Linked DNA regions of Nothobranchius furzeri. The main gene of each other region encodes a partner of the protein of the gene in region 6 in a complex. Links are inferred from orthologs where the notes say so. Each region holds a gene or a part of one and is shown on either strand. Other genes may lie near its edges.

Region 1 (3,500 bases), on a different chromosome or scaffold from region 6:
GCCTGTGTGTGTTTGTTAGCGGCTCTGTCCTTTCGGTCTGCTAGTGGGAGTTGAGTAAGAATCTGATAGGGGTGACTTGCTCTTTATAGTGGAGGTTTGCTTACCTTTAAATTTGGGATCTTTATATTATGATGGCTGTTTAAAGTAAAGGGCCCACTTGTAACCTACATTTTCTAGCCCTAGGATAAATATACATTTAAGTTTTAACAAACAAACAAACCTGTAACCTGTATTTAATGCATTATATTTAATATTTCCTGAGTAATTACAGTTTTATCACGGTTATAGTTGTGTTTATTTGATAGTAATGATTGTTTCTTTGGTAGTGGTTCGTTACCACAGTTAGGATTGTAACTAGTTTTTCACACCAGTAAAAGTTAAGCATCTCTTGACAGATGAGCTGAGAGCAGAGGATGTTCCTTCAGAGCCATTTTTAGTGCTGGATGTGTAGCAACAGCGTGAAATGTAGCTCCCTGCTTGGTGAGACATCAGCAGAGGCTAATTAGGGTAAAGCAGTGTTTCCCCTAGGAATTTTTCCAGCTGTGGTGGTGGGGCCGGAAATTATGACGCGTCTCTAAATAACAACCCATAGAAGCACTGATTTGATCTCATTTCAGAGAAAAATAGAACAGGTTAGATGCACCTAATAAATAAAATTACTAACAAACTCAGGAATCTTTCTTTGCTTCACTGTTCTGGTGCTGAGAATATCACTAATGTGGGTCAAAGGAGATACACAGATGAATGCACCTCTTATTTATTATTTGGAGACTACATTTACTGCAGCTGGCAGAGGCAGAGATTGTTTCTATTGATACACGGAGTTTACAGAATCATTTTAAATGTTAATAGGGGAAGACTGCAGGAGGGAGCGGTAAAATACAGGGGGTCCCCAGCAAAAACAAGAAACTTTACAAGTCTGATGAAACCCGCTGGTTTTCCATCAGGCAGTCACGGGGCAGCTCCAACGACCCAGTGGCTGTGCTGGGTCAGTTATCGAGCTCAGTCCGGCTCGGTCGTGAACGAGCCGAGGCGACGTAGTGCTCTGCTTAAGAAGAGGTGTTATTTTCCCGCTTCAGAAGAAGCGTCCAACGTGTTTTTATGCTTTCTCAGAGACATGTCACGTCGCTAAGTTGTTAGCGCCGCGCGCTAACACGTCAATAGTGAAGCGTAGCCTGCTGGAGGTTTTTAATGGTTCAGGTGAAACACCCGACCTCTCAGGCTGCTCACACATCGATCTTAAGTTGTCGCTGTTGCGCTCACGCCGTAATACATTATTAGATGTGGTTAAAGTCAGACATGAAAAAATAAGTTTTACATAAATAAGTGATGCTTAGCCTGGTGGGGGGAGGAAACCCTGTCAAGATGGTCAACACTCGTTTATCTTAATGCTGTTGAAACATGTAAACCAAAAAGCATTATATCCACTGCTACCTTTCTAATTTTAAACTCAGTAACTTATGCTGTAACTTCACCCTGCCCTGCCTGCTCCTCCTTGCTGCCCGCCGGCTGTGATCACAAGCGACAACATAGTAGTTCCCGCTGCTTCTTCGGGAAACAGCGCAAAAAAAAAAAAAAAAAACTTGGGATGTTGTAGGCGTGGCGGTGGGATTTCAGCGGCTACGCCTATGTAAGGGAAACCCTGTAAAGCTCTGGTATTAAAGTGGTTTCATGTTGCACTTCAACAGTTAGCAGAGTCAAAACCACAGACATAAAGTCGCCTTTATACAACTTTTTCACTGTAGAAAATCACATGCATGCTTTTGTTATGCATGGGATTATTTTCGTGTGTGCGAGTGTATCTAACACTTCCTCTCATTGAAACCATGGATCAACTTGATTTTTCTCTTGAAGCAGCCTGATTTTTATGTTTTATTTTTTAAATCTTCTGTTTTTCCTGTTACAGCACCCCCCCAGGCAGGAGGAGGCCCCTCGGGCTCAGATGAGGACTCAGATGTTGAGGTTGTATACGTCAAGGAGCCCACAACTGAACAGGCAGCGTTAGCCAGGGAACTCAGGCTGCCGTTCACATTCTTCTGCTACAAAAATGAGCCTGGCTACGTCAGCGATGACGAAACCGACGGTGAGACGAAAGATATGAAAGCTGAGCAAAGACAGATTCTGATGACTGGAACTGTAAATTACATCACACATCTTTGTTTGAAAATCCTAAATAAAAAAAAACTTGTTCAAAGATTATTTTTTACCCCAAACGGGCCAGTTGCATTTACCAGTTTCTAAATCTGACAGATTTATAAATTACAACTGTCATTAACAACCCTGCCTCAGCTTGCTAGCCTGTAGCTAGCGCTAACACCAGTGTTGGGCAAGTTACTTCAAAACTGTAATGCATTATTTATTACTTGTTACCCTCATTTTAAAGTAATTCATTACATTACAATATTACTGATTTTAAAATGTAAGGCATTACACTACTTTTGCATTACTTTAAGTTACTTTCACCAAAACAACTTCAGTATGAATCTGGTCATGTGACGCTCAGTGAGCTCATGACATATATGTGGAAAGTGATGTGGTGTCTGAGCTAGGATTGCTGTTAAAACAGTCAGATATAATAACAGTGCTTTAAAATGATTGTTTATTAAATAAAAGCAACAACAATCTGTACTCTCAGCACGCTGCCATCTTATATTAACTGAGCAGGGAGTGAGGTGGTGGGGGCTCCAAGCCTATATTTGCCTTGGTCCCCAAATGCCTTGATACGGCCCTGGATGTGGAACTGACTTCTGGGGTGATCTGATTCTATCACATGTATAAATATTAAATGCTTATTGTATTATTGCTTTTCACTGGTAAAAATGTGTATCGGGGATAAATCTTCCTACTTTTTTCTTTTTTTCTTGATTTTATTTGAATAATTTCCGGCCCTTTCTCTCGCTAACCTTCCTGCATGCTGCATGTTTTCTCCGTCTTCCAGAAAAACTGTTTCCTAGATTTCCTACTTTCTAACGATCAGCCAAAGGGATCTTCACATGCGTGGTGCTCCAGCTAGCCTGGCAAGCCAGACTAAATAAATGTATTATTTAGTCTGGCCATGCTCCACTGACGGCTCTTGGTTGTGGGGCGGGTTCTACTGTTGTCTTTCAAATGATCTCTGCATTCCACTGGACAATGAATGTGACATACTCTTGTTTCACTCTGTTGCATCATCCCACCCACCAGGCATATAGAGTGCCCTGATTGGCCCACAAAGCGGATAAAGCTCTGATTTGTTCACTAAGCAGATAGAGCACTATGACTGGCCCACCATTATGGACCAATCACAGCTCTTTGTGTGTTTGAAACCCCTCTAGAGAGCTGTGATTGGCTAGCCAGAGTCCTGGTAGGAGCTGCTGAGGTTCCAATGGAGCATGCCTAGACCATTCTTTGCAAAGCAAGAATTTGGTCTAGTTCACTAGGCTATGCTCCAGCAGTAATGAGTTGAAATCACCGGGGCACAGATTATGAACTCAGCTGAGGCAAAGCACGTCAGAAAAGTA
Region 2 (3,500 bases), on a different chromosome or scaffold from region 6:
CAGCCGCCTCAACAATTGCCGAGTGGAACAAGGCCCACTCGGAGTCAATGTCCCCCACTGCTCTTGGGACGCGGTCAAAGCTCTGCCAGAGGTGGGAGTTGAAGACCGTCTTAACAGGTTCTTCTGCCAGGCGTTCCCAGCAGACCCTCACTATGCGTTTGGGTCTGCCAAGTCTACACGGCATCTTCCCCTGCCATCTGATCCAACTCACCACCAGGTGGTGATCAGTTGACAGCTCCACCCCTCTCTTCACTCGGGTGTCCAAAACATACGGCCGCAGGTCAGATGATACGACTACAAAGTCTATCATCGACCTGCGACCTAGGCTGCCCTGGTATCAAGTGTACCGATGGGCATCCTTATGTTCGAACATGGTGTTCATTATGGCCAAACTGCGACTTGCACAGAAGTCCAATAACAAAACCCCACTTGAGTTCAGATCAGGCGGGCCGTTCCTCCCAATCACACCCCTCCAGGTCAAGCTGTCATTGCCCACGTGAGCATTGAAGTCCCCCAGCAGGACAATGGAGTCCCCTGATGGAGCACTATCTAGCACTCGTCCCAGGGACTCCAAAAAGGGTGGGTACTCTGAACTGATATTTGGCCCATAAGCACAAACAACAGTCAGGACCCGTTCCCCGACCTGAAGTCGCAGGGAAGCTACCCTCTCGTCCCCCGGGGTAAACCCCAACACACAGGCAGAGAGTCTTGGGGCTAACAAAATGCCAACCCCAGCCCTCCGCCTCTCACCCGGAGCAACTCCAGCAAAGGAGAGTGTCCAACCCCTCTCAAGGTCTTGGGTTCCAGAGCCAATGCTATGTGTCGAGGTGAGTCCGGCGGTACTGCTCAACCTCTGCCACAAGCTCCTGCTCCTTCCCCGCCAGCGAGGTGACGTTCCATGTCCCAAAAACCAGTTTTCTTGTCCGGGGATCGGACCGCCAAGGCTCCCGCCTTGGTCTGCCACCCGATCCACACTGCACCGGACCCTTCATGTTCCTTCTGCGGGTGGTGGGTCCACAGTTGAATGAGCCCATGTATCCGGTTCGGGCTGGGCCCGGCCGGGCCCCATGGGCGAAAGCCCGGCCACCAGGCGCTCGCTCACGGGCCCCAACCCCAGGCCTGGCTCTAGGGTGGGACCCCGGTAACCCTCCGGGCCGGGTACTCCGACTCTTTGTTTTTACGTCCATGAAAGATCCTGTGAACCGTTCTTTGTCTCACCCTTCACCTAAGACCAATTTGTCATGGGAGACCCTACCAGGGGCACAAAGTGCCTCAGACAACATAGCTCCTGGGATCATTAGGGCACTCAAACTCCTCCACCACGATAAGGTGACGGTTCAAGGAGGAGTGACGTGTTTTGAATTATGTTGAATCATAAATGTAAAGTTAGCTCCACTGTTGTATTTTGACTCTTGCAGGTCAGCAGGCTTCAGTTTAACCTCAGCCTCACAAGGACTCGGATCCTCACAAGGTAAAACTATCCAGAAACCTGGTTCTGTCCATAAAACCGTGAAATGGTCATTCATGCCTTCATAATCACAGATTTCTGCTTCCCTTCTTTACAGTTAAAGATGTGAACAAGTTCACTTTCAGAAATGGCAAAGCTGTATTTGGTCAGTCTGGAGACCCGCCGTTCTCCCTCATCCAGAAGCCCACCTCATCTGGTCTTGGCACTGGGTCTCCCACTCTGGCTTCAGATGCATCTGTTGAACCAGGGAAACTCCCATCCACCACATCTCCCCCTGCTCCCAGGGTGGAGCCACAGCCAGCAAAGCTGACTGGAGGAGAGACACTGGGCATTTTTTCTGGTCTACGTGTGGGTCAAGGAGAAGAAGCCAAAGATGCTGCACCAAATCCAGTTGCAGAGTTTACACTTGGGGAGGCTGGTATTGGCCTGGGTGTGGGAGCGCAACAATTTAGCTTTAGTGCTGCTGACTTGTCCAAGGGGGCGGCGCCTAACAGCTTGTTCAAGCCTCCTGAATCGACCTCCAAGCCGGCGTTTTCTGTTCCCCCATCCGACTCAGTGCCTTCCACTTTGCCTACATCTTTCAGTAGCCTTGTTACACCTTCTTCAGAGGAACCAAAAGCCCCCCCACAGCCTTCAGAGCCAACACCACCTCCCGAAGAAGAGCCTACTACAAGTGACTCTACTGAAGACAGCACTAGTCAGTCTGTAGCACCAGAACCTGCACCGAATGCAGTAACCATGGCAACACCTGCAGCATCAACCCCTGCAGTGCCTGTTATCACTACTGTTTCTACTCTAGTGCCCCTTTCTACCTTCACTGCACCAGCTGAAGCAGTCCCCCCGCCACCAGTCAGTGCCCCATCCACAACAGAAGCCCCCCCAGACTCCTCCACCACCACACCTGTGTCCACTTCACCTGCTGCATCTGTTGCCCCTGATTCCCAGTCCCGCCCAGCAGCATTCCAAGTGCCCCCATCGGAAAAACCCGGTTCCATCTTCACTCAATCAACTCCTGCAACTACAGACAGCAGTTCTGTTGGGGTCCCACCTGTTATCAACACAGCTGCCCCCGCAGCCACCACCATCACCCCTTCAGTGTCTAGCGGTACTCCAACCACCACTGCTGCTGTGTTTGGGCAGCCTGTAGCACCTCCGGCATCATCAGCTCCAGCTCCCACAGCTTTTAGCTCTTCTGGGTTTGGTGCAACAACTGGAACCGGCTTTGGTAAATCCGTGTTTGGTCAGAATAACCTGTTCGCCCAACCTTCCAGCAATTCTGGATCAGCCAGCAGCTTTTCTTTTACCCAATCTGGATTCGGAGCCACCTCTAGTAGTGGGACCACCGGAGGAGGAGGTCTCTTTGGGTCTGCCACTGCCAGCAACGCAAGTTCCTTCTCCTTTGGTGCGAGTGGCGCCAACACAGCGCCAACACAGTTTGGACAGAGCACAACCCTGGCGTTTGGCCAGAGCTCTGGATTTGGGCAAGGACCTGTATTCGGGAGTAACACCACCACACCTTCATCTTCAGGATTCAGCTTCAGTCAGCCTTCAGGTGAGCCGAGCCGGGGCTTTATCAGGTCAGGTGTCACCTTTAGGGATGTTCCAGTCACTCTTTTTTGCTTCAGATCTGAGTCATTTGATTTTGAGTATCTGCCAATACCAAGTCCCGATCCGATACTTCAGGAATGTGTTAAAAAGGAAAAGAAAAAGGAGAACACATACAAGTTGTCCTTTAAAGCTTTTTATTATTGTTTGTGGTTTTTTGTTGTTGTTTTTGTTTTTATGTCATTTCGTTAGTTTATCTTCTATAAAACTCTGGCTCAGATAGAACATTCAGAAGAAATGTGTCAATGTTACAAATCTATTTAAAATTTGTCTCTTCGCTCTTATGTCAAATAGTTAACTTGGCGTGCAGCTGTTTTGAGCAATGTGCAATCCCACGACAGGGCAGGCACGGCACAAGGTGCTCAGCAGCAGGCTCACACTTCTCTACAAAACACCTGCAGAGCTGTGGGTTGAGACGAAACAGCAG
Region 3 (3,930 bases), on a different chromosome or scaffold from region 6:
GATCCCAACTGTTGGAGCGCTCACACCTGCAGAAAAAAAAAAACACAGATATGAAGTCACCTCGAAGCTGAACTAACCAGCTGCCTGGTCAAACAGCCATTGTGACTAATAATGATGTGAAACTGTTTCATACAACAACTAATGTTGGTAAGCTCAGAAAGGACACAGAATTTATAAATATAAAACTAGTGCAAAGTCAGAAAAGGGTAGAATGCCTTCTCCGGGTCAGGGATGAGGTCCTGCCCCAAGTGGAGGGGTTTAAGTATCTCGGGGTCTTGTTCACGGGTGAGGGAAAACTGGAGCGTGTCTGCAGTGATGCGGGCGTTGTACCGGGCTGTCGTGGTGAAGAGAGAGCTGAGCCAGAAGGCGAAGCTCTCGATTTACCGGTCCATCTACGTTCCTACCCTCACCCAGTGTTGGGAGTAACGCCGTTTAAGTATAACGGCATTACTAATGGTGTTCTTTTTTAGGTAACAGAATAATCTAATTAATTACTTTTCCCACTGTTGCAACGCCGTTACCGTTACTGGGGATGGAAGGTTGTGCGTTACTATGTTCTTGTCGAACGTTGAGCAGCAGCGTGAGGCTTTCTGACCGCCACACTTCAGCTGCAGCCAGGAAGAGAGGTGTCGGTAACGCGCTTACAAACACGATGATGATTAGCCGGGTGGGCGGAGACCCTCAGTGTTCTCACTGTCTCAGTTGCTGCCTGCTGTAGACCCAACTGAGCAGTGATGGGAATAACGCCGTTTAAAATAACCACGTTAATAAAAAGATATATATATTTCTTTCTGTAACGAGCAAACTAATTAATTACCGTCTTAACAAAACGATCGTTTCTGTTACTGATAAGGAAATGCGTGCGTTAAGCAGCGCGGCAGCGAATCTGCGGGTCTGCAGCCGTGTCCTTCTTAGCGTGACAGCGGGACGTCCCGAAGGTCCGCTCACCTGTTCACCGCTCCGACGTCCTGATCTTCTACCTTCCTAGATCATCCAGCTGTAACCTGTTTCTGATCATGTCTTTAGTCCCGCTGTAACACTGATGCATCAGTCTCAGACGGCATGGAGCTCAGGTGTTACTAGAACTACCTGTGTGTGTTTACCACCCAGCTTCAGCTCTTCTGTGGTTGGGTCTGACCCAAGTTAGTAAATGTAAGTCCTCCATCAGGCTTGTGCCTCTTCTAGTGTCATTTTAAAGGATTTTATTTATTTATTTAACCGTTACTAGATTAGCAGCAACAGAAATGCTGCTAAAAACACACAATTATGTGAAGCTGGAAAAATTAAAATGCTGTGCAAAATTACATTTATTTCTGTAATTTAACTAGACTGAGAGACCATTTAAAGGCTCGGGAACCTTTACAGGTGTTTCTATTTGCAATTTTAAATTTTAGCTGATTGGGGTCTTGTTAAAAATCACACAGTGACCTTTTAATAGTCTAGATAAGTGTAATGTTCCTGTTAGTAGTTCCTCCTGTTAAGTGCTTATTTATTTAAATCGTTCAGGTTTATAAAAAACATTTAGACATTCATTTTATTATGTTCCAATCATTAGTCATTTATATTTCACTATTGTAGTAACTCTTGCACGCTTTAATGAAAAAGTAACTAAGTAGTTATTTTTCTTGGTAATTAGTTACTTTTATAATCTTGTAACTCAGTAACTGAGTTACTTTGACAAAGTAATCAGTAACTATAACTAATTACTTTTTTAAAGTAACGTTCCCAACACTGCCCTCACCTATGGTCACAAGCTTTGGGTAGTGACCGAATAAAAAAGTACAATAAGTATACTTTTGCAACGAACGTGTTTATTCTCTTGGCTAGATCCATAAATGTAAATCTGCTCATAAGATGCCATATTTCCCTTATTCTCTTAAAAATGTATAACTATTTATAAACAAAATTTCTCACTCGTCTAACAAAAAGTCTCAAAACGATTGATGCTTGTGGATTTTTGCACGTATTTGTAGAACTAACAGAGATGGGAATTGTGGCATCAAGTCATCTCCATGTCGTGTTTTTGTTCTGCTCTGCAACAAAATCAGGTGATCTCAGATGAACCTGGCTCAATCCACATCTCTGACCGTTAATCCCTCTGGCTGAATGTTCACTTACAGGTATTCACCTGTGTCGTATACGTCATGTTCTCCTGGTGTAGACTTGCACTTCGCTAAATAAAGTCCTTGACACTTCTGCAGGATTAGGGTTGAGCTTCCACATCCTCGTGATTTTATCTTGAGGCGCTCTATTAAAGATCGTCTTCTTTCTTTCTGCGTGAAGAGGACTTACTGACTCCATAAAGAAGACACCGTAATCCAGCCTAGCTGCCTCAGGTTGGGTTACACCGCAGCTTTGATCTGCGGTGGGCTGTTATGCACCTACATACCCCTCAGAATGATGGCAGTTGCGCCCCTGTTCAGTATGAGTAACAGGTGAGCAACCTTTGAGTTGACCATACAACTGTTTCACTAGAGCTCACCTGTTCGGTGCAGCTGCCCTGAACATTTCACATCACAGAGACATGTGAGCACGCGCAGAGCGAGAGGACAGCGTAGCTAGCCGCGGCTAGATCAGCGCGGGATCCAGTTAACGTGAATGGAACATTAAAAGTAATGCCTAACTGGACTTCATTAATCAGAACTCACACTCACCTGGACTCACTGTGACTTCACGGAACCGGCGCTCTGTTTCCCGCTCAAACCCGCAAAACTCCACGAAGCTTCTCTCCATTACAGCCGCCATCTTCTCCGTGGGGCCACGTGACACTTGAAAGCTGCGCACGCAGCATCTTAGAAACCCAGTGAAATAAACGCCCCACTGTAACCATAGATATGTCTGTGGACGCAACGTAGCAGTAGCGGGCCGCCATCTTGGATGGGTTCCCAATCACCCGCAGAGCATTTATTTCGACTGAAGGTGTTAACTTCAAAACTCATTTTACGGATTTTTTTTAACAAAGTCAGATACATGGTATGGCATGATAAGAAAACATAAATGAATTTTTTTCACATTTTAATAAAAAAACAAGTTTGTTAATTTGAAGGTCTGTCTCTCTCTCTCACACACACACGCTGAGGCTGAAGGGAAAACGAAACCCTGATTTTCTATTTTACTCTATTTTATTCATTTGTTTGAGTGCTGAAGGTTACGATAATAGCCTAGTTCCTAGTTCTCATTTCTCCAGGTGAATGTGCCGCCATACCAAGTCAAATTACCCACTGTGGAATTAATGAAGTCTATTCTATTCTATATTTGACTTTGGCACTTTCCACGTCTTCTGGAGATCTGTGGAGTCTCACATAAATATCAGGACCACATGCTCCTCCAGCTTCTCCACCCGAGAACCTGCTGCTGCCACTTTGACCACTAGGTGGCAGCAGATGCTTCACTGGAAAAGACTGCACCGATTACTGAATTTAATGGACAGATGCATTTGTGTTGCGAATGGCGGTGTGGCTCAGAGATGAAGCAAGGCGCTCGCTCGGCAGCCGATTCAAATAGAAGCAGACTTTATTGTGTCAGCTCTACTGTACATGTGTCATCTTACAGCAGCACAGTGACTCGTACAAAAAGATAACTGGAATGTTTGTTCAGTAATACTGATGTGTACCATATAAGGAAAGCAGTCTGTTACATCATCACCTTCAGAGGTATAAAGTACCAGTTCACCTGAACAGGTGAGACTACAAGACGATCCATCTCCTATCTGAGGAGTCCGTGCACAGCTCCATGCGCATCACGCTGCGCTCTTGCTTGGCAGCTCAGTGCTGTTGTGTCTCGTCTTGCGTGACGTGCCGTCGTCCCGCGGCCGTGCCTTCTGTAGACTGGACATGGCGGCAGTGCGCTCGATGTCGATTAGCGCATAGGGTTCTGTGCGCCGCGTGGGTGTGGTGGGGGGCAGCGGGGAGGTGGGGGTGCGGGGTGTGT
Region 4 (3,500 bases), on a different chromosome or scaffold from region 6:
GTGGCTCGTGGAGAGAATCAGTAGCATCCTCCAAGCAGAGATCAGCATTTGTGTCTCTGGGAAGTAACAGATGCCTTCCTCCTCGGTCTCTGCCACGTGGCACACCAGCGACTTGACATACTGGGACCAGTACTCGTAGCGCCGAGCGTTTGAGAACTTCTGAAGCCCGTCCTTCAGAGACTGCTCCAGGGAGCCGCTGCAGAGACCCACAGAGAGGCAGAGTCCGTATTTAAGCGAGTGAAACACATGAGCACCAGTAGGTGCATTTCCATCACCGGAACTTCAGGGTAGATTTACAGTGTGTGTGTGTGCGTGCGTGTGTGTCTGCCTGCTCTGTCTTCTCGATCCCCAGTGAGTCATGGAGGATGGCTGCTTATACTGAGCCAGGATTCTCTGGAGGTTTCTTCCTGTTAAAAGGGAGTTTTCCTCTCCACTGTCCCTACATGCTTGCTTAGTATGACGATTTGCTGGGTTCCTTATATAGTAGGGTTGTCACGGTAACCGGTGTAGCGGTAAACCCCGGTAAAAAAAAGTTGACAATAATAATAACCGTCTTGTTTTTAAAAAACTATATTATCTCGGTGGGTTACCGTGGCTGCGGTGTAGGCGTGGTGACCCTTACCAGCCACCGTATCATCTGCTGAAGTTGCCGGCGGCACATGCGCGCTTTGTTGTTTACAATCAAAACTTTCTTGAAGCTAAAGCTGAAATAATGGTCAAAGGAGGAGACGGCAGCGCTCAGGAAATTTTTTATCCCTCAAAGAAGACGAAGTGGGAAGTACGGGCATTTTATGGATATTTGAAGAATGCAGAGGGAGTTTATAGAAGACGGCTATCCTGTTTGCAGCACGTGCAGAAAAAGTGTCTGTGAAAGGCAGCAACGCTTCAAATCTCATGACACATCTGCGTGACCATCACCCACAACTCTACAGTCAACGCAAGGCAAGCTAACGTTAGCATTTTAGCTAAAATGCGTGATCCGAGGATTTGGGTTGAGGGAGAATGCAACGAGTGGCTATATAAAGCAGCTGCAGCGCCGCTACCTGCATATGAACCGTGTCGCGGACACCGCCATGTTGAAATGACGCTATGCATTATGGGGCTCCCAGAGGCAGATAAGAGTTGGTCTCTCTCTGAGAATAATTATGAATTTAACAACGATTACTGCCTGATGACATTTTCCCACATCTGCAAAGCTCACTGGAAGGACACAAACCGAGGACAACATTTTCCTGATATAGGGTTTATTACTCAAGTAAGGGTAAAAAAGTATCTGATTAGAAGGCTACTTGAGTACTGAGTATCATCTGATCTAATATTTTTAAAATGATGACATCAAACAGACAAAATAAGAAGTTATGGGCAAATATTGGTATTTTAAAGACTAAATGGGAAAATGTAAACAAATAAACAACATAATTACAAAATAACACATTTTAGGCAAGATTTAGACACAAACTGAGGACAATATTTCCTGACATACAGGGTTTATTTAATTGTGTGAAAATGTAGCACGTTTAAAAAAAATACTGCGATAATATCGAAAACCGTGGTAATTTTGGTCACAATAACCGTGAGGTTAAATTTTCACACCGTGACAACCCTAATACATAGGAAACATTTTTTCTGATTGGCTCAATGAACTGACCTGAATTAGAATGTTTACTATGTGAAGTGCCTTGAGACGACTCTTGTCGTGACTTGGCGCCATATAAATAAAATTGAATTGAATTGAATAAGTGCTCGGAATGGCCCGGTAAATGACCCGGTGCAGGTTGGTGCGCAGGAACACTGCCGATTGGTGGTGTAACTCGTCAGAAATGATGTTTCGTTCACTGCTTTTGGAGCGTGCTGCGTGTTTTGCACCAATCCATGACATAACTCACAACGTAGCAGTCGCGATGTGCTGGCGTTTTAGCAAATTCCTTACAGAGTCACACTGTAAATGGAGACACGACAGCTAAGAGGACCGGCCTTCGGATCTCCCGGTCAGTTTCCCCCTCGCTGCATTTACCCTGAAGTTCCGGTAAAGCAAACGCACCTAGTACCACTCAGCGTGGATCTGTTACCTGACAACGTAGTAGATCTCCAGGCCAATGATCTTCATGACAAATGCACAGGCCTCCAGAACACAGGGCTGAAGACAAACACACCTCTTTAAGTTCATCTAAGCAGAGAGAGACAAGTGGCTGTAAATGAAAAACAACGACATCAGCACCTCTGTGGTTTCTGCAGGTGGGGTGAGGGTTCCAAAGAGAGGCATTGTCAGATTCTCCCAAAATTTTTCTCTGCACAAAAAACAACACGCCATGATGCTTCTCACCAAATTTCAGTTGAAAGAAACAGATGATTCAAGTGTTAAAATGTGCTCACTTGGTGCGCAGAACTGAAATGGCGCTGTCTCTGCGATCCTGCCAGAGGGCCAGCAGGAAGGCCAGGGCTGCCCGGTGGAGCAGGGGGGGGCACCAGTACTTCCCCTGCTGTTTGGAGTCGATCAGATCCAAAACCACATGGAGACAGCTCCACTCGCCCAGCAGGAACTCCTGCAGGTTCACATTTTACTTCTAAGTAACAACTAAAGGAAAGAATCTTTCTCAGATACGTTTATTAACAAGCGTGTATTATTTGATGTAAAAAGGCCATCTGGACGTTTTTCACACAAAAACTTCACTCTAACGAGGGATTTGGCTACGACGGCCGAACCGGGTAGAACAGCAGCGCCGACACATTTTACTAGAACTCTTCCAGTTTAAGCAATCAGAAAAAATTCAAACAGGTATTAAGATCAGAAGTGTCACTTTCAAGTCCACTTAATATTACGGTAAAACGGGTGTATTCACTCCTCCGTCTCACACTTACGAAGGGAGCTGAGTGAGGGACAGAAAAGGAGCTACAGAGACAGATGAACACAGCGATAAATAAAATCGGCCGTAGCAGCGCCAGGAAAAAAGAAAGAAAAACAACCAAATGTGCCACTCCAACAGCTGGAGCATCAGACCCTGGTCCCCACGCCCATCCGCTGCTGCGCCGTAACGGTGTTAACAGATCAGCAGATCCCGGGTTAGGCAGCATCGCCGCAAAAGCTGCGGCTTTGACGATACCACGATTGTTTGAAAATCACATTTTTGCTCAGAAAATGCCAGACCATTCAGCCCTCCTCCAGACTGGGGCAGACGGATATATCCGTCTGATTGATAGTTGCCGTTTTTTATACGTCTGCATTGGCTGATATTTGTCCTGATTTAAAGTCAGATGTATCCTCGAGCAGCCCGGTGCTGTTGCAGAATGTAATTTTAATGTATTTTTATGTTCACTAATAACATCTGCATAATAAATACTCTAAATTAACTTTATTTAGGTGTTTGACTTTAACACCGAGCAGTGCACAAAGTTAAGGTTTAACAGTTAAATTCAGAGATCTAAAACTGATTCAGCTTCAGAAATGTTGCACATCAACTGTTGCTATTAGTGACATTGTCACATGCAAATAAGGTGGAAAA
Region 5 (4,084 bases), on a different chromosome or scaffold from region 6:
TTATTAAAGTATGATGGTGCCGGGTCTGACGACTCTGGCTCTTTGGGAAATGACAAATGAGTAGGGTTGGCAAAACAATTTAAAAATAAATATGCCACATTTAACTAATAACTGCAACAGGTCAAATAGGATACGAGTGAAACAGATCTGATCTTCTGTGTTTTACTACATCACATTAACACGTTCCTAACGGAGCTTCAGACTCGTCTTCTACACAAACACACTCCATGAATAAAAGCTCGCTTCTTAAAGAAATGCCAGCAGGTCAGCATCATATTGACACTTCATGTCTACGAGAGGAACTGAGCAGTGTGAGCAGATGTTGGTCCAGACACGATCTGGTGCTTTTATTTATCAAACCAAGTCAGAACAAAGCTCCAGGCTCCTGATAAAGTCCAGTCCACCTCAGAAGCAAGAGAACAAGGCCCATATCTCCTCCCAATATGGGCAAAGAGTCCAACTTACAGATGGGGAAACCTCTTCATGGGTCTCTGGTCATGATGGAGAGGAACTCCTCCTGATTTACTGAAAAGAAGGGAAAAACACCTGGTCAGATCTACTGGATTTACCTGGAAAGCTTAGACGCAAGAATGAAAGAAAACAAACAAAAAGCGAAGCAGCAGTGGATTTTTGTTACTTTAACTGAACATGTTTACACATTGTCGTTAGTAAATCTATTTTGTTCCAGGGCAGCAGATGCCTGCTGACGTGACAGGATCTGGTCTAACAGTGAAAGCAACAATGTTAGGAACAATCATATAAATAATTAAAATGCCTGTGTGTGCCAGAAGATGCAGTGATGATGTTGGTATTGTTGCATCTGCGGCTCTAATCAGACACAAAATCACAACAAAAGAGAGACAGAGTTGCTCTCATCTCAGACTCCGGTCTTACTTTCTCCATCCCCGTCTGTGTCAAACTCGTCGATCATGCTGCGTAGCTCCTCGTCGCTGATGTTCTCCCCGAGTTCTCGAGCAACCCGTCTCAGGTTCCTCAGGCTGATCTTTCCTGACTCGTCATCGTCAAACAGCTTGAAAGCCTTCATGATCTCCTCTTTGGGATCTCGCTCCAAGATGCGATCCGTAACTGTTGAGGGGTAGGGAAAAGGTTTAGTAGCTAATGAAGCACCTCAAGCTATGAGGTAATACCAGAGCCGATGACCACCTTACCCACTTCGCTGAAATCCTCAAAGGTGATTTTCCCACTTCCCTCTCTGTCGTAATCCTTCAGAATCTTCAGAACATCCACTTTCTTCACTTCAAAACCGAGAGCGCGCATCGCCACCTGACAAGATGTTTAAATGTTGTTTTGGTTTGAATTCAGGATTAGAACAATTAGTAACTAGCACTAAAACAACAAATAAATGTTATTGCTGTAGAACGTTAGCTCCAATTCCCCTGGAGCTTTATTTCAGCAGGGTGCCTTCAGACATGGAAAACCCATTAGCGTTTCTCCAAAAGGTGATTAAATGGTATTTAGTTACTTTTACTTACATAATAATACATAAATACCTGGTGCTCCACATTCACAGCAGTTAAAGAAAAATAGGAATGATGAGGTTATAAAAGCATAACTTATATACGGCATTATTTCAGGCACAAAAACCATAAGGTAACCATAACAACCACCACTATGGCCCATTTTCTTACCTTCAGCTCGTGATAGTCAATCTCCTTATCTTTATCCGTGTCAAATAAGTCAAAAGCTTCTTTAATTTCATGCTTTTGGTCCTCGGTGAGCTCCCTCCTCTTCTTGCGCTTGGTTGTCTCAGCTGCAAGATCAGTTCTGCTGAAACAAACACACATGCAGTCTCACCTCAGACACTACCTGTATCACAGCCATGACTTATTAATGCATTAACCCATACACTTTGTTATCCAATGAGAACTAAACCATTTTCTGTAATGTTTATTGGGGTCTCTCTGATGACACAGGGTAGGCTAAAGGATCTTAAAAAAATCTACCTTATGCCTTGTTCTAAAAAAAATCAAAAGCAAAATAACCCAGAAGAACATCTAAAGCTTTGTAGGTCAAACTTGGTTAAGGTTTAAGGTCATGTGTCAACAATAAGGTAAACCTCATTCTCCAAAGCCTCTGCTGAACAACAACAACAACAACAAAAACAACCCACATTTACCAAAAACATTGGGAGGACCTCCAAAAGTCTGGGGGAAATTGTTTATTGACAGATGGAAAAAAACAAAACAAAACAAAAAACTAGTACATTCGGGTCCCCCACCGTTTCTCCGCCAGCTTCTTTGTAAACTGTTGTGTTTAGCAATATTATTTCAAGAAAATCCCTAAAAATATATATCTTAATCATTTGGTCATTGCTGTAGCTGTGAAATTCATCATGTTTAGTGAATATCACTAATTCTAATCTAATTCAGATTACGATACAATTAGATAATATTACTCAATTTACAGTTATACACAAGGGACTCGTTCCCTCATAAATGTCTTATCCTGATAAAAAAAATAACATCTACGCCTATAATTGTACAATTTGGCAGGACGAAATCATCTTGACGAGACAAGCGAAGGCGTACGTTTTTCAACTGGGGAACAAATCTCGACGTACCACCGGTTTCAACTGAACTGTAACAGCCACATCTCGCGACAAAAGGTTAGCTCCTTACCTTAGAGATAAACTCATTCCAGGTGAATTTATAAAACCTTTAAACCAAATGTTATTCTGAATGCTATGTGGCTACAGCTTCCAGCAAACACAACAAATCCGTTTATCCGCGCTCACACACCAGGAATCCTATTGGTCGCTGGTTGCCAGGCAGCAGTTAGGCGAGATCTGGTTGGTTAATGTTACTTCTTCAAGGCCGCTTACCCGGTCGTTGTCATTGCTCTATGCAGTCAATTAGAGCACTATTGCCACCTCGTGTTCATAACTGATACCACAGTCTATATTATACATATGGATGGATATACATATGCCCGGTATATATATATATATATATATATATATACACATACAAACCAATGATGAATCAAAAATATTCTGACACATCACCATTGCATAAAGAAGAAGAAAGGGCCTGTATATTATGTAAGGTACCTAAATTCTCCTAAAATTTTCAATATCTGGTGAATTTGGACATAGAGAATTATTCTAATGACTTCACGTGCTAATGTAACACTCACAAGGTCTTTATGAACCTCAAATCTTGATTTTGTTTTAAAAAAAATTTTGGGGTGGGGGGACACCCTCTCCACCAGCTGTTAAAGTCTCATACGTTCAAGCTGCTTTATAAAACTATTATTCCAAGCCCAGTTAAATCTTAACTTTCAGAAATTCTAAGCAGCCAGAGTTCAGAGTTGCCAAAAAGTGCTGCTTTTAGTTTTTGCCCACCAAAGAGTGCTCTTTCATAGGAAAAATCTTCTTTCTCTAAACTAAGTTGTGGATGTTCTAACATCGCCAGGACTTTTTGAGTGCCACAGGATTTTAATCTATAACAATGTAGTATGTTACCAGTAGTAACCTTTGTCACTGTGGTGCCAGCTCTCTTCAGGTCATTCACTAATTCCCCATATGTACTTCTGGACTGTTTCCTCACCATTCTCAAGATCATTTGTACCCCACAAGGTGAGATCTTACACAGAGCCACAGGTCGAGGAATACTGTCAGTGATTTTGTATTTATTCCAGTTTCTAATAATTGCTGCAACAGTTGATCTCTTCCCACCAAGTTGCTTACCTGTTGTGGATTTACTCAAGCCAATCTTGTGCAGGTGTACAATCCTGACACTGATGTCGTTTGTCAACTCTCTGGTCTTGGCCATGGTGGAGTCTGACTGACTGAAGGTGTAGACAGGTGTCTTTTATACAGATACCAGTTGCCACTAATTCAGTCAGCAAGTGGAGGATAGATAAGCTTCTTAAAGAAGAAGTAACAGGTATGTGAGGACCAGAATTATTGCACATATGTAGGCACTAAATATGTATCTTCTGCACCATGATACAAATAATTTCTTAGAAAATTTTACAGTGTGACTTCCAGGATTTTTTACATTCTGTCTCATAGTTGAAGCAAACTGTAACTAGGAATGCACCGATGCGATACTGGTATCGG
Region 6 (2,666 bases):
ATCTTCATTCTCCAGGAACACATTTAACTTTTACCTACATGCTTCTTAAGCTTTTTATAAGTATCACTGTTGGGCTTATTAGTTCACTAAATGTCTTTCTCTCTGAAAATGATTTGAAGTTGTTTTTGTGTTTGTGTTTTAGGTTCCTGCAGGATTACTGCGCCAAAGGCACCTTCTCTGATCTGGATCTGATCGACAACCTGGGCTCAACCATGCTGCTCAGCGACAGGCTAACCTTCCTTGGTAGGAGCCTGAACACACACACACACACACACACACACACACACACACACACACACACACAAGACTAATAGAAACAGAACCAGTATCCGCTTGATGCAACAACATGTGATGGTGAGAATTTCTGGAGGATGATTTGATAGAAATGATTCTCTCCAGGAAAATACCGTGAGTTCCACAAGCTGTACGGAGAGAAGTGCTTCAGCGATGCTGCAAAGCTGCTACTCTCCCTCATGACGGCTAAAATCGCTCCCCAAAGCTTCTGGATGACGCTGCTGACGGATGCTCTGCCTCTGCTGGAGCAGAAAGAGGTCAGTCCACACCTGAACATCGGTTTAAAGTAGATTTGTTATTACAAAATCAAGAACTTTAGTTTATCCCTTTGATGCATAATGGTCACTACAGTGGACAGGTACTCAAAATAGTTATTTATTTATTTTTGCTATTAAGCACAGCTGTTGAAGACTTTATTGCATGTGAGCCTCTCCAGTTGGACTTCAGTAAGGCAAGCCAACATATTTCATGTTCAGAATGCACGCTGTCCACTGAGATAGACATGTAATAAAGTATTTGTAAATTAACAAAATGTTACAAAGAATATTTGTTGAAATTTGTTTAATTCACACCTAAAGATGAATGAAACAAATTGTTTAAAAAATCATGGTTGAAGATCTCATAATTCATGCATCAGAGGGTTAAATGCACAAATCTGGAGCATTCAGATGTTGTTAAATGAATGTTTTGATCCTGTTTAAGATCATTTGTGACCTCCTGGTCAGAGTTTTGTGTGCATGAAAAATGCTGCACAAATAGAATAAGTAATATCTATCTTTAAGTAGGTATTTGTGGAACTTTTTATTCATCATTAAAAATTAATTAATTTATGTAGTTTTTTTGAGTGACACACTACCGTATGTTATTTTTAATGTGAACATTACTACCCCTGTTTTATTAAAGGGGCACTTTGCAACTTTTTCATATTTTGAAGTCATTTTCTTGAGCCAGTTTGTGCTAAAATGACCCTTTTTGAGGTTAATTAAAGGCCACACAGCTCCTATCATCTCTCCCCCCCCCCCCACCCCCCCATGTGGCAGAATATCCCACTTGCAACCCCAGAGTGCCGGTAAAAAATTGAGCTGACACACCTGGCGCTGCAGTCTGCTTCCTGCATGTTTTGGATCGGGAACACATCTGATATGTTTGATTTGGTGACGACTCACTCCTGTAGACACTAATGAAGGCTGAGGAGTCATTTCAGCTGTTAGATTAAGGTGTTAAAAAGACGAACGCACAGCGAGGAGATTTCTTGGGGGTGCTAAAACTGCCTAGTTACCATTTAAACCAACTGACTACTAAACATGTTTCTTGTAAGAGTTAGCATATCAAAAATTGAGCTATTTGTCATTTTTTATTATGTGGATGAAAAAATCCGAACAGTTGGAGTTTCAGTGGAGTAACTTGTTCTCCTTGTTTTCAGGTGATCTTCTCTGCAGAGCAAACCTATGAGTTGATGTACTGCTTAGAGGAGCTCACCTCCTCTCTGATCACTGCTGCTTCTGGATCAGGCAGACCCATGCAGGTCTTTATTCTTCTTTCAGCTCGTCCCAGCAGCTGGACATTCCTGTTTCATAGTTTTAACACAAACCAAACCCAGTTTGATGTTAAAGTGATTATCTACTGCCGTTTCCACGTTTAAAATCTGTCTTTCTGTTTTCAGGAGGAAGACGTAGAGGTGACCAAGGTGGAGATGCTGAGACTCGCCCTGGCCAGAAATCTGGCTTCAGCTATTGTGAAAGAAGGAACAATGCAGACATAAAGTAGATTCAGATTTAAAAACAAGCTCTTCTTTTGCATTTTTGTACTGTTAATAAGATCAAGTCATCAAATGTTTGTTTTTTGATAATAAATATCTCTTCATTCCGTTCACTTACGTTGTTTCTAAATCATTTTTGGGAAATTATTAGAATAAATCAAAATATCAAACATATCAAATTGTTTTAAATTATTTAACTGTAAACAAAAAAAATCACGTTCACGCAACACGACACAAAAACAGCAGCTGTGTTTTATTAAACAGGGTCATTACAGTTCAACTGATCCCTTTTCTTATGAAAACAATCTCATTTTTCCAGTTATTGACCCTTCTCATGAATTATATTCCAAATATGTTTAGCTCAAATTTTTACAAAGTGTTTGTTGGACCAAAAGCTTTCTGTAAGAATTCAACTGCTTTAGTGGGGGAAGTTCCAAAGCAGTAAATGATTGTGTCATCAGTGTAAAAGTGCATATAAGCATCTGACACATTTTGTAATAAGTCATTGATATACATAATGAACAAGAGGGGTCCCAAGACTGAGCCCTGTGGTACTCCCTTGTGAACACTAAAAAATTCAGAGGACAACCCATCACAATTAAGGCATTGAGTT
Region 7 (3,500 bases), on a different chromosome or scaffold from region 6:
TCTACTAGCTCCGCCCCCGAGATCACAGCTGTCACTCCTACTAAGGAAGCAGCCACAAATAAGGTTTGTCCTACATCTGCTTATTCCTACTTTTATTTTTAGAAGTGTAAAAGAACACTAGATAAAAATTTTTGTCCCCAACAAGGATCCACCGAAGGCGTCGACACCGCCCTGCGCACCGTTCACCTTTTCCTCCCCCATTGTCAAAGCAACTGCTGCCAGCCCACCTTCTTATTCCCCCTCCGTGAGTACATGCTTAAATTAACTCGTCAAATAGCCTGCTGTAAAAACACAGGTGATGCATGTTGTCTTGTTTCCTTGTAGACCGGATTTACTTTCAGCGCACCTGTAGCGAAGTTGGCTCCCTCTCTGTCCATGTCCAATGGAAATCTCGCCACACCCTCGGCACGACCAGGTGAAGGCGTTCGCCCACTCTTCATCTGTTCCTGATGGTCCACGGCAGGGGTGCCCAGTCCTGGTCCTGGAGGGCCGTTATCCAGCAGGTTTTAGTTTTAACTGCTTCAACACACCTGATTTCAATCAGCAGGTGATTAACAGGCTTCTGCAGAGCCTGATGAGATGCCGCACAGGTGATTCAACCAGTTAATCAAGTGTGTTGGAGCAGAAAAAACACAAAACCTGCTGGGAGACCGGCCCTCTAGGACCAGGACTGGGCTCCCCTGGTCTACGGTTACAGAGCATCTTGAGTGAGCTTCCATCTGTTTTCATGTGTTGCAGTGAAGTCAGTCGGAAGCAAGAGCACAGAAGAGTTTGAAGGACCTTTTAAACCAGCCAAGACGCTGAAGCAGGCCAGTGTGTTGGACCTCCTGAAGTCCCCTGGTAGGAACCTGTAGAATAATTTGTTTTTTGCGCTCTGAGGTCGGGCGGTAAGGAAAAATCTTTTCTAGCTGATATTGATCAGTCCAACAAATAACTGGTGATGTATTCACCCTCCAGAGCAATAATGGGCCCATATATGATTAAAATATTACCGTTGGAACCGCGGAGACATCAATTGTTCTAAAATATAACATTTTAGAGACTTTTTTCAACCTGAGCAACGTATCGTAGACCATGAAGAGGAAAAAGCTTTGGCGACACGCAGCAGTGGCTAACTGGCCCACTCCGTGATTGTAAAGTGCACGTTGTCGGATGTTAAAAGGCTAAAATACGTCCACACGACTGAACTGTTCGATCCCTTATTGTCGTTTGCTGTTTCCTCCGTCTTTTTCTTTTGGGGCGCAATTTTTTTTTTCTGTTTATATCATTCATGTCCCACCTGTTACCTGCGGTAAGAGGCTAACCTGTCTTCCCGCCAGGCATGAAAGCGGTGCAAAAAGGCAGCAAAATGTGCTATATGACAGTTAGCCACCATTTTAGTGAACGGTTTACTTTCTGTTGAAAGCAAAGTAACGTTTTGGACGCATCCCAGAAGCAAAGGGAAGCTTTCATGACGTCACAAGTCTATTTTTTTGCACGCTAAACTTCCAAAACACGTCAAACACCAGTTCAGATCGGGCCAGACAGGAAGTCAAACATGAAATCAGTGACAAACTTCAGAAAACTTTCAAAATAAAAGTCAGAACAGAAAATTAACCATACCGTTTTGTGTACATGGAGCCGTCTTGCTCCTCGCTATTGTGTGGACTTCTGAAATCGCGCATGGGGTTGGAATTCTCTCGTGATTTTGCGATCTCGCGGGATCGGCTGTGTCTGAATGGCTCCCAGTCGGAGGGGAGCTCGAGGGTGAAACGCCGCTGCTTTCACATCTGGTGGAAAGCTGGGGTAAAGCTACACAAACATTAGCTGTTAGCGTGTCAGTCTGTCTGCCGTGTGATTGGTCCAGCCGGGTGCAGCACTTAATATGATTGGCTATCACATCTATGGAGGAAATGTTCAAACGGATATTGCTTTCGTTCTACTGCCCAGCCCTACTTGTGGAGGACGCTATTTGGACTTTAGTGGATAAAGACGAGTTTTGTTTCAGATGGTTGTTTTCTGTCAGTGATTAGCGGCTTTGAACCGTATGTTGGACATAATTTCAAATGTAGTTTGACAAAGGTGGTTGTATCCGTGATTGGCACTAAAATCCCAGATTTCTGTATGTGTACAAAGAGAATGTGGCAAGAGGACCCTGATTTTTCTTGGAAGTATAGAATATCTCATCCTCAGGACTTATAAAAATATTATCTTTAAAAACGATCGGTGCAGGAGGTCAATCGCCCGGCCTTTTTGTGCGTATTTTAATAAAAATGTTTTTATCTTAACGCTCCGTTTCCCCTCTCTAGGTTTTGCTTCTCCCGTTGCTCCGAACTCCTCAGACCCAAACGTTGCTCCACAGCAAACACCGACGCCTCCCGCAGCACCCGTCTCAACGGCCACAACCTCCTCCTCCTCCTCCCTGCCTGCTCCTACAGAGTTTGTTAGTTTACCGAAGGCCCCTGCGGGTTGGAGCTGTGACGAATGCTTGGTTCAGAACAAGAAGTCGGACACAAAATGTGTTTGCTGTGCGGCTTCAAAACCAAACAATTCACCTAAATCCACGGAGGGCAAACCGTCAAACGACAGTGCTGTGGGGCTGGAGAGCATCAGCACGAGCGCCGCTGTGACCACGACGGGGTTCAGTCCCATCTTTTCTAAGCCTGCAGGAACCTGGGAATGCGATACGTGCATGATCTCAAACAAACCAGATGTGGTGAAGTGTGTGGCCTGTGAAACGGCCAAACCCGGGACGGGGCTCAAACCCTCTCTCACCTTTTCTTCTGCCTTCTCAACTGTTAAGACTGCACCCGCTCCCACAACCCCCATTTCCACAGGCATCAGTGGATTTGGAGATATATTCCAAAAACCCGAGGGCTCGTGGGAATGCCAAACGTGTTTGGTACAAAACAAGGCGGAGGACACTAAATGCGTGGCTTGCAAAGAAGCTAAACCGGGTAATGGCAGCATGGTGTTTTGATATTTACTTTGTTTTTACTCCACTTTCTTATTGAGGCATGTTCTTACTGAGCATCCTTTTTATGTTCAAATCGTTAACAGGAGCTACAGCGGAGGCTGCCTCATCAACCAGCAGCGCCCCAGTGTTTGGATTTGGAGACAAGTTCAAGAAACCAGAGGGATCCTGGGACTGTGACGTTTGTCTGGTGCAGAATAAAGCTGCTGATGTGAAGTGTGTTGCCTGTCAGACGGCCAAACCTGGAGCTAAGGTGGAGCCTAAAGGTACCTAAAGGCTGTTGGGATGAATAGCTTATCAGAACGGGGAAAAAGGATTATTTTTACAGCGATCCTAGAATTTAAAACCACATTAATGTTAATTGTTGACGGCTTGAGTTATGAAATGTACCAAAAACCTGCTTTCCTGTGTAAATTTTGTCTGTAGCGGCAACCTAGAGACGATTCATTCTGAGAAGAGCTGATTACTCAGTTTTCCTTTTTTAAGACAAACATTTTGCAGGTTTAAAGAGCAAGTCACCCCCAAATCACATTTTTTTTTTTGCTGA

What was found.
Region 1: nup85 (region 6) and ranbp2 share a complex: the UniProt entries of both Homo sapiens proteins name them as parts of the nuclear pore complex. The link is inferred for Nothobranchius furzeri from reciprocal best matches to the Homo sapiens genes NUP85 and RANBP2.
Region 2: nup85 (region 6) and nup214 share a complex: the UniProt entries of both Homo sapiens proteins name them as parts of the nuclear pore complex. The link is inferred for Nothobranchius furzeri from reciprocal best matches to the Homo sapiens genes NUP85 and NUP214.
Region 3: nup85 (region 6) and nup160 share a complex: the UniProt entries of both Homo sapiens proteins name them as parts of the nuclear pore complex. The link is inferred for Nothobranchius furzeri from reciprocal best matches to the Homo sapiens genes NUP85 and NUP160.
Region 4: nup85 (region 6) and nup188 share a complex: the UniProt entries of both Homo sapiens proteins name them as parts of the nuclear pore complex. The link is inferred for Nothobranchius furzeri from reciprocal best matches to the Homo sapiens genes NUP85 and NUP188.
Region 5: nup85 (region 6) and cetn3 share a complex: the UniProt entries of both Homo sapiens proteins name them as parts of the nuclear pore complex. The link is inferred for Nothobranchius furzeri from reciprocal best matches to the Homo sapiens genes NUP85 and CETN3.
Region 7: nup85 (region 6) and nup153 share a complex: the UniProt entries of both Homo sapiens proteins name them as parts of the nuclear pore complex. The link is inferred for Nothobranchius furzeri from reciprocal best matches to the Homo sapiens genes NUP85 and NUP153.

The regions. Positions count from the first base shown.
Region 1 is NC_091747.1:23,232,305-23,235,804, forward strand, and holds part of ranbp2 (E3 SUMO-protein ligase RanBP2), read left to right. Parts: intron 1-1,906; coding exon 1,907-2,083; intron 2,084-3,500. UniProt on the Homo sapiens protein: E3 SUMO-protein ligase which facilitates SUMO1 and SUMO2 conjugation by UBE2I. Involved in transport factor (Ran-GTP, karyopherin)-mediated protein import via the F-G repeat-containing domain which acts as a docking site for substrates.
Region 2 is NC_091746.1:57,211,654-57,215,153, forward strand, and holds part of nup214 (nuclear pore complex protein Nup214), read left to right. Parts: intron 1-1,418; coding exon 1,419-1,471; intron 1,472-1,565; coding exon 1,566-3,020; intron 3,021-3,500. UniProt on the Homo sapiens protein: Part of the nuclear pore complex. Has a critical role in nucleocytoplasmic transport.
Region 3 is NC_091744.1:79,862,794-79,866,723, forward strand, and holds the start of nup160 (nuclear pore complex protein Nup160), read right to left. Parts: upstream 2,801-3,930; 5' UTR 2,746-2,800; coding exon 2,655-2,745; intron 27-2,654; coding exon 1-26. Other genes in the region: fibroblast growth factor receptor substrate 2, read right to left, coding at 3,740-3,930. UniProt on the Homo sapiens protein: Functions as a component of the nuclear pore complex (NPC). Involved in poly(A)+ RNA transport.
Region 4 is NC_091746.1:61,201,351-61,204,850, forward strand, and holds part of nup188 (nucleoporin NUP188), read right to left. Parts: intron 2,544-3,500; coding exon 2,374-2,543; intron 2,289-2,373; coding exon 2,219-2,288; intron 2,138-2,218; coding exon 2,070-2,137; intron 197-2,069; coding exon 1-196. UniProt on the Homo sapiens protein: Component of the nuclear pore complex (NPC), a complex required for the trafficking across the nuclear envelope. Required for proper protein transport into the nucleus.
Region 5 is NC_091746.1:37,904,206-37,908,289, reverse strand, and holds the start of cetn3 (centrin-3), read right to left. Parts: upstream 2,801-4,084; 5' UTR 2,657-2,800; coding exon 2,640-2,656; intron 1,789-2,639; coding exon 1,650-1,788; intron 1,285-1,649; coding exon 1,170-1,284; intron 1,087-1,169; coding exon 895-1,086; intron 526-894; coding exon 482-525; 3' UTR 1-481. UniProt on the Homo sapiens protein: Plays a fundamental role in microtubule-organizing center structure and function. As a component of the TREX-2 complex, involved in the export of mRNAs to the cytoplasm through the nuclear pores.
Region 6 is NC_091752.1:54,277,265-54,279,930, forward strand, and holds the end of nup85 (nuclear pore complex protein Nup85), read left to right. Parts: intron 1-142; coding exon 143-243; intron 244-399; coding exon 400-551; intron 552-1,717; coding exon 1,718-1,819; intron 1,820-1,957; coding exon 1,958-2,056; 3' UTR 2,057-2,166; downstream 2,167-2,666. UniProt on the Homo sapiens protein: Essential component of the nuclear pore complex (NPC) that seems to be required for NPC assembly and maintenance. As part of the NPC Nup107-160 subcomplex plays a role in RNA export and in tethering NUP96/Nup98 and NUP153 to the nucleus.
Region 7 is NC_091759.1:94,286-97,785, reverse strand, and holds part of nup153 (nuclear pore complex protein Nup153), read left to right. Parts: coding exon 1-63; intron 64-145; coding exon 146-244; intron 245-324; coding exon 325-415; intron 416-738; coding exon 739-840; intron 841-2,288; coding exon 2,289-2,936; intron 2,937-3,039; coding exon 3,040-3,219; intron 3,220-3,500. UniProt on the Homo sapiens protein: Component of the nuclear pore complex (NPC), a complex required for the trafficking across the nuclear envelope. Functions as a scaffolding element in the nuclear phase of the NPC essential for normal nucleocytoplasmic transport of proteins and mRNAs.